Linked DNA regions of Macaca mulatta. The protein of the gene in region 1 purifies or fractionates together with the protein of each later gene. This does not show direct contact. Links are inferred from orthologs where the notes say so. Each region holds a gene or a part of one and is shown in the gene's direction. Other genes may lie near its edges.

What was found.
Region 2: the proteins of CCNL1 (region 1) and CSNK2A2 purify together in Homo sapiens (affinity purification with mass spectrometry; 4 studies listed by BioGRID and IntAct, with this or other methods). This does not show direct contact. The link is inferred for Macaca mulatta from reciprocal best matches to the Homo sapiens genes CCNL1 and CSNK2A2.

Annotation. Positions count from the first base shown.
Region 1 is NC_133407.1:60,339,806-60,346,411, reverse strand, and holds the start of CCNL1 (cyclin-L1), read left to right. Parts: upstream 1-2,261; 5' UTR 2,262-2,314; coding exon 2,315-2,617; intron 2,618-2,923; coding exon 2,924-2,998; intron 2,999-3,435; coding exon 3,436-3,545; intron 3,546-6,606. UniProt on the Homo sapiens protein: Involved in pre-mRNA splicing. Functions in association with cyclin-dependent kinases (CDKs). Inhibited by the CDK-specific inhibitor CDKN1A/p21. May play a role in the regulation of RNA polymerase II (pol II).
Region 2 is NC_133425.1:53,801,267-53,807,963, reverse strand, and holds the start of CSNK2A2 (casein kinase II subunit alpha'), read left to right. Parts: upstream 1-2,727; 5' UTR 2,728-3,098; coding exon 3,099-3,202; intron 3,203-3,983; coding exon 3,984-4,095; intron 4,096-6,697.

The DNA of each region.
Region 1 (6,606 bases):
AAAGGTTATCAAAACCAGAAAACTGACCAGGCACAGTGGTGTGCCACTTATAGTCCCAGCTACTCAGGTGGCTGAGGTGGGAAGATCCCTTGAGTTCAGTAATTCAAAGCCAGCCTGGGCAACACAGTGAGACAATGGCTGTAAAAACAAAAATGGAAGAAAACCAGAAAACTGGTGTCATCAGTTGTGTTTAAGGAAACCAAGTCTCCTTTAAAAGTTTGTTATAAAATTATAGATCTCTCATAAATACTGAGGTGGAAAGATTCCCTGGAAGCAGCCTAGTCAGAAAGTGAAGACAGTGACATCCAGATAGGTTAATACTTCTGCCAGCACCATAATTACACTCTCTTGGCTGTACATTCCAATCACTGGAAGACAGGCAAAATTGAACCACTGGCTGGGCCCACCTTAAATCAATGGCCTCAACCTCTGCAGACAAGGCTCAATTATCAGTACGTTTTAAAACAACTTTGCCGCTGAAGGTTCACTTAAATAATCAACTGGTAAGGCCAGGTGCGGTGGCTCATGCCTGTAATCCCAGCATTTTGGGAGGCCACGGCGGGCGGATCACCTGAGGTCACGAGTTCAAGACCAGCCTAGCCAACATGGTGAAACCCCCTCTCTACAAAAATACAAAAATTAGCTGGGCATGTGGTGTGTGCCTGTAATCCCAGCTAGGGGAGGCTGAGGTGGGAGAATCGCTTGAACCCGGGAGGCGGAAGTTGCAGTGAGCCGAGATCGCGCCACTGCACTCCAGCTTGGGCGACAGAGCGAGACTCCACCTTAAAAAAAGAAAAAAAAAATCAACTGATAACAGGCGATTAACAGGAGACAAGGCATACATAACACCGGAATAATAGCAGGAGAATCATTACCCAGTAGCTTAATGGAGTACAGAAGATTTTATATCCTTTTTTTCATAGGGGAAAGGGGAGATGGGAAATGTAGACATTTATTTTGAGAAGCAGCAAATGATTATTAGGAAGAATGAATGGACAGAAATTAATTAGCAAATAATTTTCTTTTGAGTTATCTTGTGAAAAAGTCCCTCCAGGCATGGCTGCATTTCTGTCTTTCTGAAATAGGATACCAGATCTCAGTGAGGGGAGGAATGCGATTGTTTCTTCTACAAAGAGGCTTCTCTAGTCTGGGAATGAAATTTCAGAGAGTACCTCCCCGCACTTGGGGAAAGGGCGGGCAACAAGTCAAGGTTAGGGGGACCTGCATTATGAGGCAGCTTCTAAAGCCTCTCAGTCTTTGGGGTATCGCTTTCTGAGCGTCAAGAGTAAAACGTGATGCATTACTTTCCTTCCAACCTAGATTCTAGTAGTTTAGATCAGTATCATCGTTTTTACCTCAATGTTCAGGAAACGCTGGAAATTTCTAGCTAACATCACAGAAAAAAAAAACCCACGAGGTTGACTTCACCTATTCTGCCTACCCTCGGCAGGTAACTATGTATGAACTGACACTCCCAGGCATAATCAAATTACCTCTGTCAAGTCCTCGCCCTAAGACTATTTTTGGAAACTAGGGATTTTCCAGATTACTGAAAGCCTTGTCAGTGTCAAAGGCCGGGCAGGAGTTTCGCAAGCGGAGCTACGAAAGCAGCCGCCCTCACGGTCATTCCTGTGCCTCCGCCCTACTTCCCCACACTGGCAAAAACACGCCCCCCGGGGAACTTTCATCGGAACCGATACAGTCCACTGTCCTGTGTTCTTCAAATACTGTAAAGCAGGATAAATACTGTAAAGCAGCCCTCTCCAGTTTCCTTGAGGGTCACTTTATATTACACATTCGTCCACACACGACACCAGTCACCACTTTCACCCGCCAAAGCGCGCTCAGGTCGGCCGCCACTTCCCTTGGTACATGCGGAACACTAGCCGCGCCGAGGTTAAAGGAAGAGGCCGGAACGCAGGGTGAAGGGGCGCAGAGATGATAGCCAACGCCGCCATCTCTATTTTGGGCATAAGGGATCTTGTAAAGCTCCATTATTCGTGTGGCTAAGTATCACAAACAAGGTGGTGTCGACAGGCCTTGGCTAGAGAAGGCCTCCTTAGCCACTGATGACCCCAAGGTCTGTCGCAGCACCAAACACTCCTCGCAGGCCCGGATGCCGAGGGCGGAGGCGCGGCCTGAAGGGACTAGTTGGCGCGCGGCGGCCCGGCGTGGTGACGTCAGGGCGGAAGCGCACGCGGCGTGAAGCGGCCCAGAACCCGGCGGTCACGGGAATATCCGTCGCGCCGAGAACGCTGGTTAGTCTTGTTTCGGGTTCCGGCTGCGTTGAGCTTGCGTGCAGCTCGCTAAGACTATGGCGTCCGGGCCTCACTCGACAGCTACTGCTGCCGCCGCCGCCTCGTCTGCCGCCCCAAGCGCGGGCGGCTCCAGCTCCGGGACGACGACCACGACGACGACCACGACGGGAGGGATCCTGATCGGCGATCGCCTGTACTCGGAAGTTTCACTCACCATCGACCACTCTCTGATTCCGGAGGAGAGGCTCTCGCCCACCCCATCCATGCAGGACGGGCTTGACCTGCCCAGCGAGACAGACTTACGCATCCTGGGCTGCGAGCTCATCCAGGCCGCCGGCATTCTCCTCCGGCTGCCGCAGGTCAGTGCTCTGGCCCTGGGTCGGCTGGGCGCTCCTCTCCTCCCCTCCGTCCCCTACGCCGCATCCCCGTATCACTGTGCCCCGGGAGGGTGGGGACGGCTCCCTCAGGCTCTCCCATTCGGGGCCCAGCCGGGGCCGGGGTGTGCCGGGGCGGGGGGCTGCGGAGGCGGAGGGAGGACCTGGCAGCGGGCTGTTCGCGGCGGCGGCGGGAGGGGAAAGGGAAGCGATCGGCGGCACAAAATGGCGGCGGCGCCTGGAGCGGGCCCGCCTGACCCCTGCGCTTCCGTTCTCCTCTCTTGTCTGCAGGTGGCGATGGCAACGGGGCAGGTGTTGTTTCATCGTTTTTTCTACTCCAAATCTTTCGTCAAACACAGTTTCGAGGTAAGCACAGCGGAGGCGGGTAAAAGGGATTTCTTCATCCGGAAATGGGCAGAAGTAGGGGTAGTGTTAGCAGCCAGCTTTTCCAGAAAGGGAGTGGTTTAGTTTAGGCCTTTGTACCTACTTCTCACTCGCCAGGAAGTGGAAACCTTTAGAGTGTGGTTCACAATCCAGAAAATGGATCCCGAGCCTAAGTGCCCTCTTAACGAGAAGTAGTTTTCAACCAAATACAGAAGTGCTGTGAGATTGAGCTTGACTCTGGAACCAAAATTAAGATGAGTGGAACAACAAAGAGTGTAGTACTAGCATAGCTGGTAGGCTTATGGCATAGAAATGTCCGCTCTAATTTTACTAAAGATTGTCCCACTTGTGTTCTAAAGTTTATTCTTCAAAGTGAGTTTAATCTAACAATGGCTTTTGTGGCTCGTGGCTTCTTACAGATTGTTGCTATGGCTTGTATTAATCTTGCATCAAAAATCGAAGAAGCACCTAGAAGAATAAGAGATGTGATTAATGTATTCCACCACCTACGCCAGTTAAGAGGAAAAAGGTAAGATTGGCATTATTGAACATAGCATCACTTGCTACTGCTGTACTGTGCACTTGTCATCAAATCAAAACATCTTTCCTCTCAAGTGAATATGGATGCAAAAGAAAACGGACTTTAATTTAGGTGTTAAAGTTCATATAGGAACACTGATATTTAAAATAATTTGAAAAAAGAAACATAATTAACCGGTTATCTAAAGTTTGTAGAGGCAGTTGCATTTATGGACAATCCTAACAGTGCTGTGAAGCCAGGCCTGTGGCTTAAGATTAAACAAGAAAGGGAGTACATTTGGCTCAAGTGTGAGTGTATTCTGTAAGTTATTTTTCCTCTCCCCTCTCTGGAAGACTGAAGGCTGTGGAAGTTTAAACACTGTAGTTTAAGTTAATATTGTGGCAAAGTTCTGTGTAGATTATGTTTTTCTACTCGAAGTCCCAGTTAATTCTTTATCAATTGAGGTTGGCTTTTGTTAGAGTACTTCTCAACATTGAACTACGATATATCGAATAATACCGGATCTGAAAGGACTGCAGGATGATAAAGTTTGAAGTTTGAAGTCAAAGGGAATAAACAGGTATTTTGTTTTGGTCAGATACAGTCTCAGTGAGTGGGTTAGAAAATTAACAAGATTGACTGGGTTGCATTTAGATAAGGCTCATTTATTTGATGTTGTAAGAAAATACAGAGACTGAAATAGTATCTCCTAGGTGTTGTGGTAACATAATTTTATGTGGACCTATGTGTTCCTGTGAGGCAGTACCAAAAAGTTTGTTGCAGGACTTCCTGCATCTACAGGTGACTTTCAGTACATGCTGCAGAAGGATATAGTTGGTGTAGATTAGTTTTTGTATTCACTCTTTAAGGAATTGTAGTGATGTTAGTCAGTGTACTGAGTTTGAAAGGAAGTTATTAAAAGGATTATAAGTTGTTCTGGGGGCTGGGTATGTTGGTTAGTGCTGTTAGTATCCTATATGTGTAGTCCTTATTGGCTGAATCTGTAAGTTGGCAGTAATGGAACTATTCAGACAAGCAAATATTAAAGCAACTTTTAGATGACTAGTCTATTCTGTGAGTCTACAGACAGTTCTTTTTTTAAAAAAAATATCCTAGTCAAAAAGTCTGAAACAGTTTTTCTACATACTTTTTCTCCCCCATCTTTTCTCATTCACCTTAACTGTGTCCAGGGATAGAGTAATTTTTAAATTCTAAAACATCTTTTAGTTTGTTGATGAGTCCCTGGGAATTGGGAAGATTTCAAATTGGTCTTTGGTATGGTCTGAGCTTTAATCTGTATTTAGATACCTGGCTGATTCTTCAGGATGTTTAAAGTTATGACACTAATACAAGGCTCTATCTTTAGTCAAAGGTTTCTCTTTGCTTAAAGGAAATGGTTTTCTAGTATTATTCTTTGAACCATTGAGCCAGCTATTATGTAATCATATGATTATCTTTTGTGAAATTTTCCTGTGAGACTAAGTTTTCTTCCTTGATGTCAGAATAGGTCTTACCTGTAAAAACCATGGAATTTAAAATAATATAATCTCACCTGATCGTTGTGTCTGATGTAACTTTGTTTTTTGGGTCATTATTACAGAGAAACTGATTTTGTTTCAATCTTAGAAGTCTGATTATAGCAAAATTTAAAAGGAGTTGTTAATTGCATGGAAGCCTTTTTTTAAAGCAGGATGTAAAAGTGTTTCTATGCATATTACAAGTTTACTCAAGCACGTAACTTGTATATGTTATTAACTTCAACTCTTTTTTCCCTTGCAACCGACTATACAGCGACCAGCTACATTTACCAAAGCCTGGGTGATGTGGAGTGGTACATAGAGATGAAGCTGTCGTCATGGCAACAGTGAGTGAAGTATCGAAAATCCCCAAGGAGAAGCCAGTGCTCTGAGAATAGGTCACTGGAATCGGGGACTAACAGGTTGGCCACTGGTGAACCATTTAGAAAAACTCCTGTTTCTTGTTACAAGCTTTTGTCTTTGCTGTCCAAGTTATTAAAACTATAGCTTTGTATTTATTTTTGCACAGGTTAATGTCATTAGAAAGTACTGTCGGTATTATACGTTAGTTAGGTAAAGCATACTTGTCTTGATGATGCTATTTGTTTTAATCTAGTTTATTCATAACTTTAAATTGTAGTGTGACTGTGACAGTTACAGTGGAGATACATTATTCATGTCGCCTGTAGGTCATTGGTCTCTTCACCCTGGCTACACATTGAGAATTAGCAGAGGAGCTTTTTAAAAAGTACCAGTGCTTAGTTCCCAACCTGGATTGTTTGGCCTATTCCTCCTTCAATTTTTTGTGGTTCAATAGTTATCTTTTAAGTTCACAATAAATGGCTAAATTTAAAGGGACGATTGCTTTTTCACTGTAGTAGTTTCCAAATATTTACTTTTGAGATGCAGCGTATTAAAATTTTCAAAGACTGCTTTAACCATTCTCATTAGTAAATGTCATGTATTTTCAGTGTATCCATAGATAATAAAAGTTGGATAGGTACGAATTGGAAAGGTATTAAGTGATGTTATTTAATCTACCAGTTTTCTATAGTATAATTCTGTGGCTCTACAAGGTGGCCTTCAGTTTGTTTAAATACCTATAAAGATTGTTTCTACTTTTAAGTAGGCATTACAGATTTTTTGTATATTGCTTGGCAGTATGCCTCTTTGTAAACTACCTATCTCTTACAGTCTCTTGAGAACCTGGTTACAAAATTTCTCAGTCTTTGTAACACATAAATGAGACTAACCATGTTTGGACTTTGTAATTTTTGTTATTGTTGAGTTATATGTCAGTTACATAATCATGCTAAAGGAAAAAAGCTCCTCTAACAAACCATATAATAAACTTCTAATTACCGAAGACCAGGATTTTCTAAAACTGAAAATAATTCTCTTATAAATCAGAAACATCGGACAATAGAAACTTAAAGCAGAAATTGAGTTTGTGTGTTGATAATGAAAATTATTTCTGAGTTTTCTCTGAATAGATGAAGACTTCTTTTTTAAAGAGATTTTAAAATGCCACCTCCCCAGACTTTATTGGCAAG
Region 2 (6,697 bases), on another chromosome or scaffold:
AAAATTTCCCCCAATTCCTCCCCACTCTATGCATGCTTATGCTGTCAGAAACCCGCGTTTTTCTGGAGAACCATTTGAGACTAAATTGCAAATACTGGTTCTTCATCTCTACACACTTGGCATGCAACTCCTAAAATTATGGGATTCTCCTGCATAACTAAATACAATGATCATACTCACAAAATTTAACATTGATACAATATAACATTGTGTAATATACATTAACATTGTGTAATATACATCCTATATTCAAATTTCCCCTGGAGTACCCTTCTATTAGGTTGGTGCAAAAGTAATTGAGGTTTTCGCCATTACTTTCAATTGAATTTCAATAAGTTTTGCACCAACCCAATATGAGCTGTATTCTTTCTCCCTCCCTTCCTCCTTTCCTTTCTACTTAAAAAAAAAAAATCCAGACTCTAATTCAGAATCACACACTTCATCTAGTTATGTCTCTCGGTCTTCAGTAATCAAGAACACTCATCCAAGGTTTCGTTTGGTTTTCTTTCTCCTGACATTGACATTTTTGAAGAATCCAGCTTAGCTCTTTGGCAGAATGTCGCCCAGCTTGGATTTGGCTGATGGCGCCCTTATTATTAGATTCAGGTTAAATGTTTTGGCAGGAGTACCTCATGGGGGAGGTGTCCCTTCTCGTTGCATCACATCAGAGGATTAGTTGGTTCCCTACTGATGAGAAGTTTGGACCACGGATAAGGTGGTGACCTCGTTTCCCCTTGGTAATCCCTAAGTCATTTGTGGGGTAACACTGTATTCACTGAAGGTCTCTGACTGTGGCAAATGCTAGGCGAGCTAGTGGTGAGCACCCACACTCTGTCCTTGTTCTTGTGCTGTTTTTACAAGGGAGGAGACAGACAATAAGGAAACAAATAATGACAAGATATGCAGTTTTATGAAGGATGTGGATAGGGTGCTGAGATAGAGAAGTATCAACTGTAGAGAAAGTCATCTTTAAGGTGAGACTTGAGCTGGGGGCATGCCTGTAGTCCCAACTCCTCAGGAGGCTGAGGTGGGAGGATCGTGTAAGCCCAGGAGTTCTGGGCTGTAGTGCATAATGCCGATCAGGTGTCCACACTAAGTTTGGCATCAACTATCATGACCTCCTGGGGCTGGGGGACCACCAGGTTGCCAGGTGGCAAACAGCAGGTCAAAACTCCCGTGCGGATCAGTAGTGGGATCATTCCTGTGAATAGGCCACTGCACTCCAGCCTGGGCAATATAGTGATACTCTATTTCTAAAAAAAATACTACTAATAAAGAAAAAGGCGAAACTTGAATAGGGAAAAGGAGTCACCCTTGGGAAGGTGGGGTGGAGGGGTTGGTGGTGGCTCCTAGTTAAGCTTGGAGGATGGAAGGAACCAAAAGATGGATGCGTGGTGGTCTCAGGGAGGGAGGCATGATCAGAGAAAGGCCCTGGGTCTGGGAATAATCATATTGTACACATAGTATCTTAATATTGAACACCATCCTACATGTTTCACATGCTTTACCTTGTTTAATTCTCCTTGCAGCCCTGTGAAGTGAGTGCTATTACTGGTTTTGTGCTGTAGAATCTGTGACACAGAGAGGTTGAGTAATTGTCCTAAGGTCACACAGCTTCTAAGTAGCAGTGCTGGATAGATCTGACTCTACAGTCTGTGCTCTTAGCTGTGTCAAGGAGGAAGGCCCAGGATTTCATCTAGAAAACAGACTGTGAAAAGGGATTGGAATGAGAGCAACCTGCACTGGGTGCAGAGGTCCTGTCGATAAAGGATGCAGGATGGGAAAGGAAGACAAAGGAAGGGCCTAGAAGGTCCAAGGAGAAGGGTGTTCAGGGCTGCAAGCAACACTGGAAGCCAGGCCAGTTCAGTTGACCACCTACCCTGGTGCATCCCCAATCCCTGCTGTCCCTTCAGGTCGGATTTGCAATTCTGCTCTCCCTCCTCCTAAACACAAACAGGAGATTTACACACTCAAAGTCTCTCCCCACAAATAACTAACTAATCACAAAGGGAAAAATTGTAACTTTGCAGTGGCACAACCTGGCCGACGCCAGCTTAACCAAGTGACCAAAGTGGATATTCAGGGAAGGCTCTGGAAGGGCATTTGGGGGAAGCGTGGAAAGGTTTTGTGAGGACTCTGAATGACGGGGGTGGGAAGCTTTGGGGACTGAGGAGTCTACCCTAACAGGGCAGGGTCCAGAGGGGGAAGGAGGGGTATGTCTCCGGGAAAAGGAGAAGTATTGAGGTGGGAGAGGTTCTGAGGTTTGAGCGAGGCCCTGGGGAGGGACTTGACAGTTTGGGTGACAGGAGGGTCAGAATAGGGTCAGTATGGGAGGTGTCGGGTGGGTAAAAGCTGGGTGAGTGCAGGGCTAGGGGTAGGGTCTCCAAGGACAGTGAAAGGGTCGGGACTCGCGGGCGAGGGCTCTAGGGCAACGGCCAGTGGAAGGGGGGCTCCTGTGGCGTGAAGTCAGGCCAGCCCGAGGGTGAGGCGATTTGGACCGTCCGACCTGGGGCGACGGGAGGGCGAGGGTGCGGGACGGTGCGGGAGGGCGCGAGGTAGGCGGCGGGGCGTGCCGGGGCGGGGCCGGGGCGGGGCCGGCACCGCCCGGCGGGTCCCCCCGCGCTCCAGGGGGCGCTGTGAGCCTGGGCGGTCCCAGGCCGGGCGGCGGCCGCTCCCAGCGAGCGCGGCCCCTTTTCCGGGTTTCCTCCGCCTCCTCCTTCTCTCCTCCTTCTTCTCCGCTGCCGCGGCCGCTGCCCCTTTCCCGGCCGGTGGCTGCCACTGCCGGTGCCGCCGCCGCCACTGCCGCCGCCTCCTGGGGGCCGCGAGCCGAGCGGAGACCGCCGCGGATCGCGAGCGCCGCCCGCCCCGCCGCCCCGCCGGCCGCTCCAGGGCCGGGCCGGCTCGGCCGGCGCCCCCCGCGCCCCCAGCCCGCCCGCCCCCGCGGGCCCGGCCTGGCGCGGCCGCCCGCCGCCGCGTTCCTCCTCCTCCTCCTCCAGCGCCCGGCGGCCCGCTGCCCCCTCCGCCCGCCGCCCCGCGCCCTCCGCCGCGTCGCCGCCGCCACCCTCTGCGCCCCGCGCCGCCCCCCGGTCCCGCCCGCCATGCCCGGCCCGGCCGCGGGCAGCAGGGCCCGGGTCTACGCCGAGGTGAACAGCCTGAGGAGCCGCGAGTACTGGGACTACGAGGCTCACGTCCCGAGCTGGGGGTAAAGCCGCCGCCGCCCCCCGCCGGGCCCGCTGACCCCTGCCCCCGCCCGGCCACCCCCTGCGAACCGCACTCGGGCCCGGTGGTGTCTCCCGCCGACCCCTCCGCGGGCCCGCAGGGAGGCAGAGGTCCAGCTCTCGCACATGTCCTCGTCTTCCTCTTCCCTCCCCTTGTCCCTTTCTCCCCGCTTTGCGCACCTCTTTCCCCCAAGGAATGCTTTTTTACTCGGGGAGAAGTGTGGGGTCCAGGGATCGACGCCCGGTAAAAGTGAGGGAGTAGCCCTTCCTCACGCTTCTGGGTTTCCACTGGGGTGGGAAGTCAACAGCTGTCCTTTGGAGCTATTAAAATTCCCTGCCTTTTCGGTTTTCTGAGATGAGGTGGTGGGAGGAAATTTCTTAAAGACGTCCAGTTTTTTAAAACAGGCACTGTCTACCCTCAGGGTGTGAAACGGGAAGCAGGTGCTGGGGAGCCGCGGGGCACAGGGGGCACCCTCTAGGCCTTCAGGACGGGTGCTTTGCTCAGCCCTCTGGATTGGCTCAGAGCGTTGCCTTCCTGCCCCATCTTTCCAAGTTAGGAGAGACCAATTAGGTTAGGAGCTCTGCAGAGTGAAGGGAGCCAAGATTACGTCGTGGCTTTCATTTAGGGAATGAGTTGTGACGTGATGTATAGACACTTCCAAGTGTTTGCCTGTTGGAAGCGGCTGAATGACGTATACAGTGAGCATAGGCTTGCTTAGATTAACCCCCAGTCCTGGCATTTATGTGTGTGTCTTCCTTTTACAGTAATCAAGATGATTACCAACTGGTTCGAAAACTTGGTCGGGGAAAATATAGTGAAGTATTTGAGGCCATTAACATCACCAACAATGAGAGAGTGGTTGTAAAAATCCTCAAGGTGAGTGTCCTATGAGTGGTATGTAACATTTTTCCCCCCACAGGGCAGAAGGTTGTAAGCTACCCCAGTCACGTTCTAGAATGGGCAATGCAAGCTTGAATTTAATTTAATTTATTTATTTAGAGTCAGAGTCTCACTCTGTCACCCAGGCTGTAGTGCAGATCATAGTTCACTGCAGCCTTCAACTCCTGAGCTCAAATGATCCTCCCATCTCACCCAAGTAGCTGAGACTACAGGTGCATGCCACCACGCCCAGTTATTTTTAAAATTTTTTTGTAGAGTCAGGGTCTGGTCAAGTTGCCCAGGCTGGTCTTAAACTCCTGAGCTCAAGCAGTCCTCCAAAAGGACTCCTTGCAGGCCTCCTAAAATTGCTGGGTTTACAGGCATAAGCCGCTGTGCCCAGCCCACGCTCAGATTTTATTTATCTGATGTCCCTTCATTACTTCTTTTTCCACCCCATTTTGCTGTGAACTTTCAAGAAAATGTGCAGACTGGTCACAGATCTTAGTTCAAATCTAAGTTCAGGAAGGTGTTTGTTCTAAAAAGTAAATTGCCTAAAGCAAAAATTCCTAAAGGGCTCCATTTGTTAGAAAATAAATAGGTATTCAAAAGACAGGAAAGCCATTCTCAATTTAAGGGCTCCCTGAGCACTGTGTTTGTTAGTCTTGGTGCATGCTCTCCGTTGTTCCAGAAAGAAAGTTGGAAAAAATTGGAGCGACTTCAGAAATGTATGTCAAACCCAAGTGGAAGGAAATTCCTTAGCAGATAATCACTTGCTTTTTTTTTTCCTTTGGCAGTAAAGTTTCAGGTGGGATGGATATAGTGCGCCAGTAGTGCTGAGAAGCCTTGTTGGGAAGCCAGAGAGCCATTGTTGCTTATCAGCTAGTAAAAATGTAGAAGAATTCACGTATTATTACTAAAGCAATAATTGGAACAAAACGATTTTAATATATGGTTTAGCAATCAGTTTGATAATGATATGTCTTTTGTTATCTCTTCCATGAAGATGATTTTAATGAGCATGAAGGGTCGGCTAAATTTTCCTTCTGGTAACAGATTAATTGTATAGCTTTAATAATGTTTTATAGGCTATAGTAAAAAGTAGTTCTTAGAATCTGTGATGGGTCTTCGTTATTGCCAGATCATTTCATGTGGTTACATGTCATTTAGTGAGAGATTGAGAAGACGGAAGAGTGACGTAAGCACTTTGCATACATGTGATTTCCAGTGTGGCCCTTTTGCAGAGGTTCTGTGGACTAAGAATGTGGAATTGAAAAGCTGTTTCTGTGTGTTAGAGCAGCTGTGTAGGTAATCACTGTTTAATGTGAGGGGTCAGGCTTATGCTTCCTGGTAATCTTTCAGAAAAAATGATTAACTCCATCACTCAAAACATCCTAGCCTAGTGATGAAGAAGCAGAATTGCAGTAAAGAGAAATAGACAGTTACTTGTGTTCTCAGACACACTGGGGATGAGAAGTGAGGAATTGATGTTGAAGATACTGAGTGTGACTCCTCTCTTCCCTAAATATGTATTGCATTTATGAAGTCACAAGGTTTTTTTTTTTTTTTAAGTCACAGGGAAATTACCTTAAAAAGCCATACATTAGCTTTATATATATAAGCATAAGTTTTTAATAAGCTGCTTCAAATCTAAGAAATAAGCGAGGCGTAAATTGAAATTAGGAATATCCACATTCCACTGCTGTATATTCAGAAGAATGAATTGCTGACTCTAAAGCAATTCCGGAAAAATGTCTGAACTTTTGTGCTATGGCAGCATTTTTAGAATAAGTGTACGATTTTCTGTGGTGCTTTTTTTTTTGAAAGGAATAGCATTCAGGTGTATGTATAAATCCCAGCATGTTCATTTAGGAGAGCATCACATTGCTGCTTCATCATCTGAAGAGCTTCATAGGCTCTAGCTTTCTCCTACTCTAAAGATTCTCAGCAGATGTTAGGAAACCCAGTATGTAAGCTGCTGCAGGTTATCTTTACAAATGGGAGACCTAGGCACAAAGAAACTTACCTAATGTCATTATGTTGAATGACCATTAGCCAGAACTCCTGTTTCCTATTTCTTCATATTTCTTACTGTTCATTTTAGCATTGGATTGTAGGATCTGAACGTTGAGCACAGAAACAGGTACCAGTGTCCTGGAATCACACTTGGGAGGCCCCTAGTTAATGAAATGTTTCTTGTTTCTTCTTGACATTGTTTGTTTTCACAGTGCAGCCTAAACCACTAGTGAAACTACACTCAATTATTTATGTTTTTTAAAGCCCGGTGGCATTTCTATCCAGATTTTGTTCCTGTCTGAAGGATGGGGTAATACATCACTAATGGCATTATTGTGATTTTGTTGTTTTGTGAATTGAAAGTATTACTTTTTAAAAAGAACAGGATCTTTAGCCAAAGTTGTGTTTCTTTATTCAAATAAGTTGAAGTTATGACTAATAGCTACTATTGTGGTGCTTGGTCATAGGAAATTAGGTCCTTAACGGAGTACCAGTTGCTCTTAACTTGAAAGAATTTAGAACAGCCTTCCTTTTTGTATAAGCCTGCTGTATTTTAGCTGCAGGATTGTATTATGCACATAGTGAC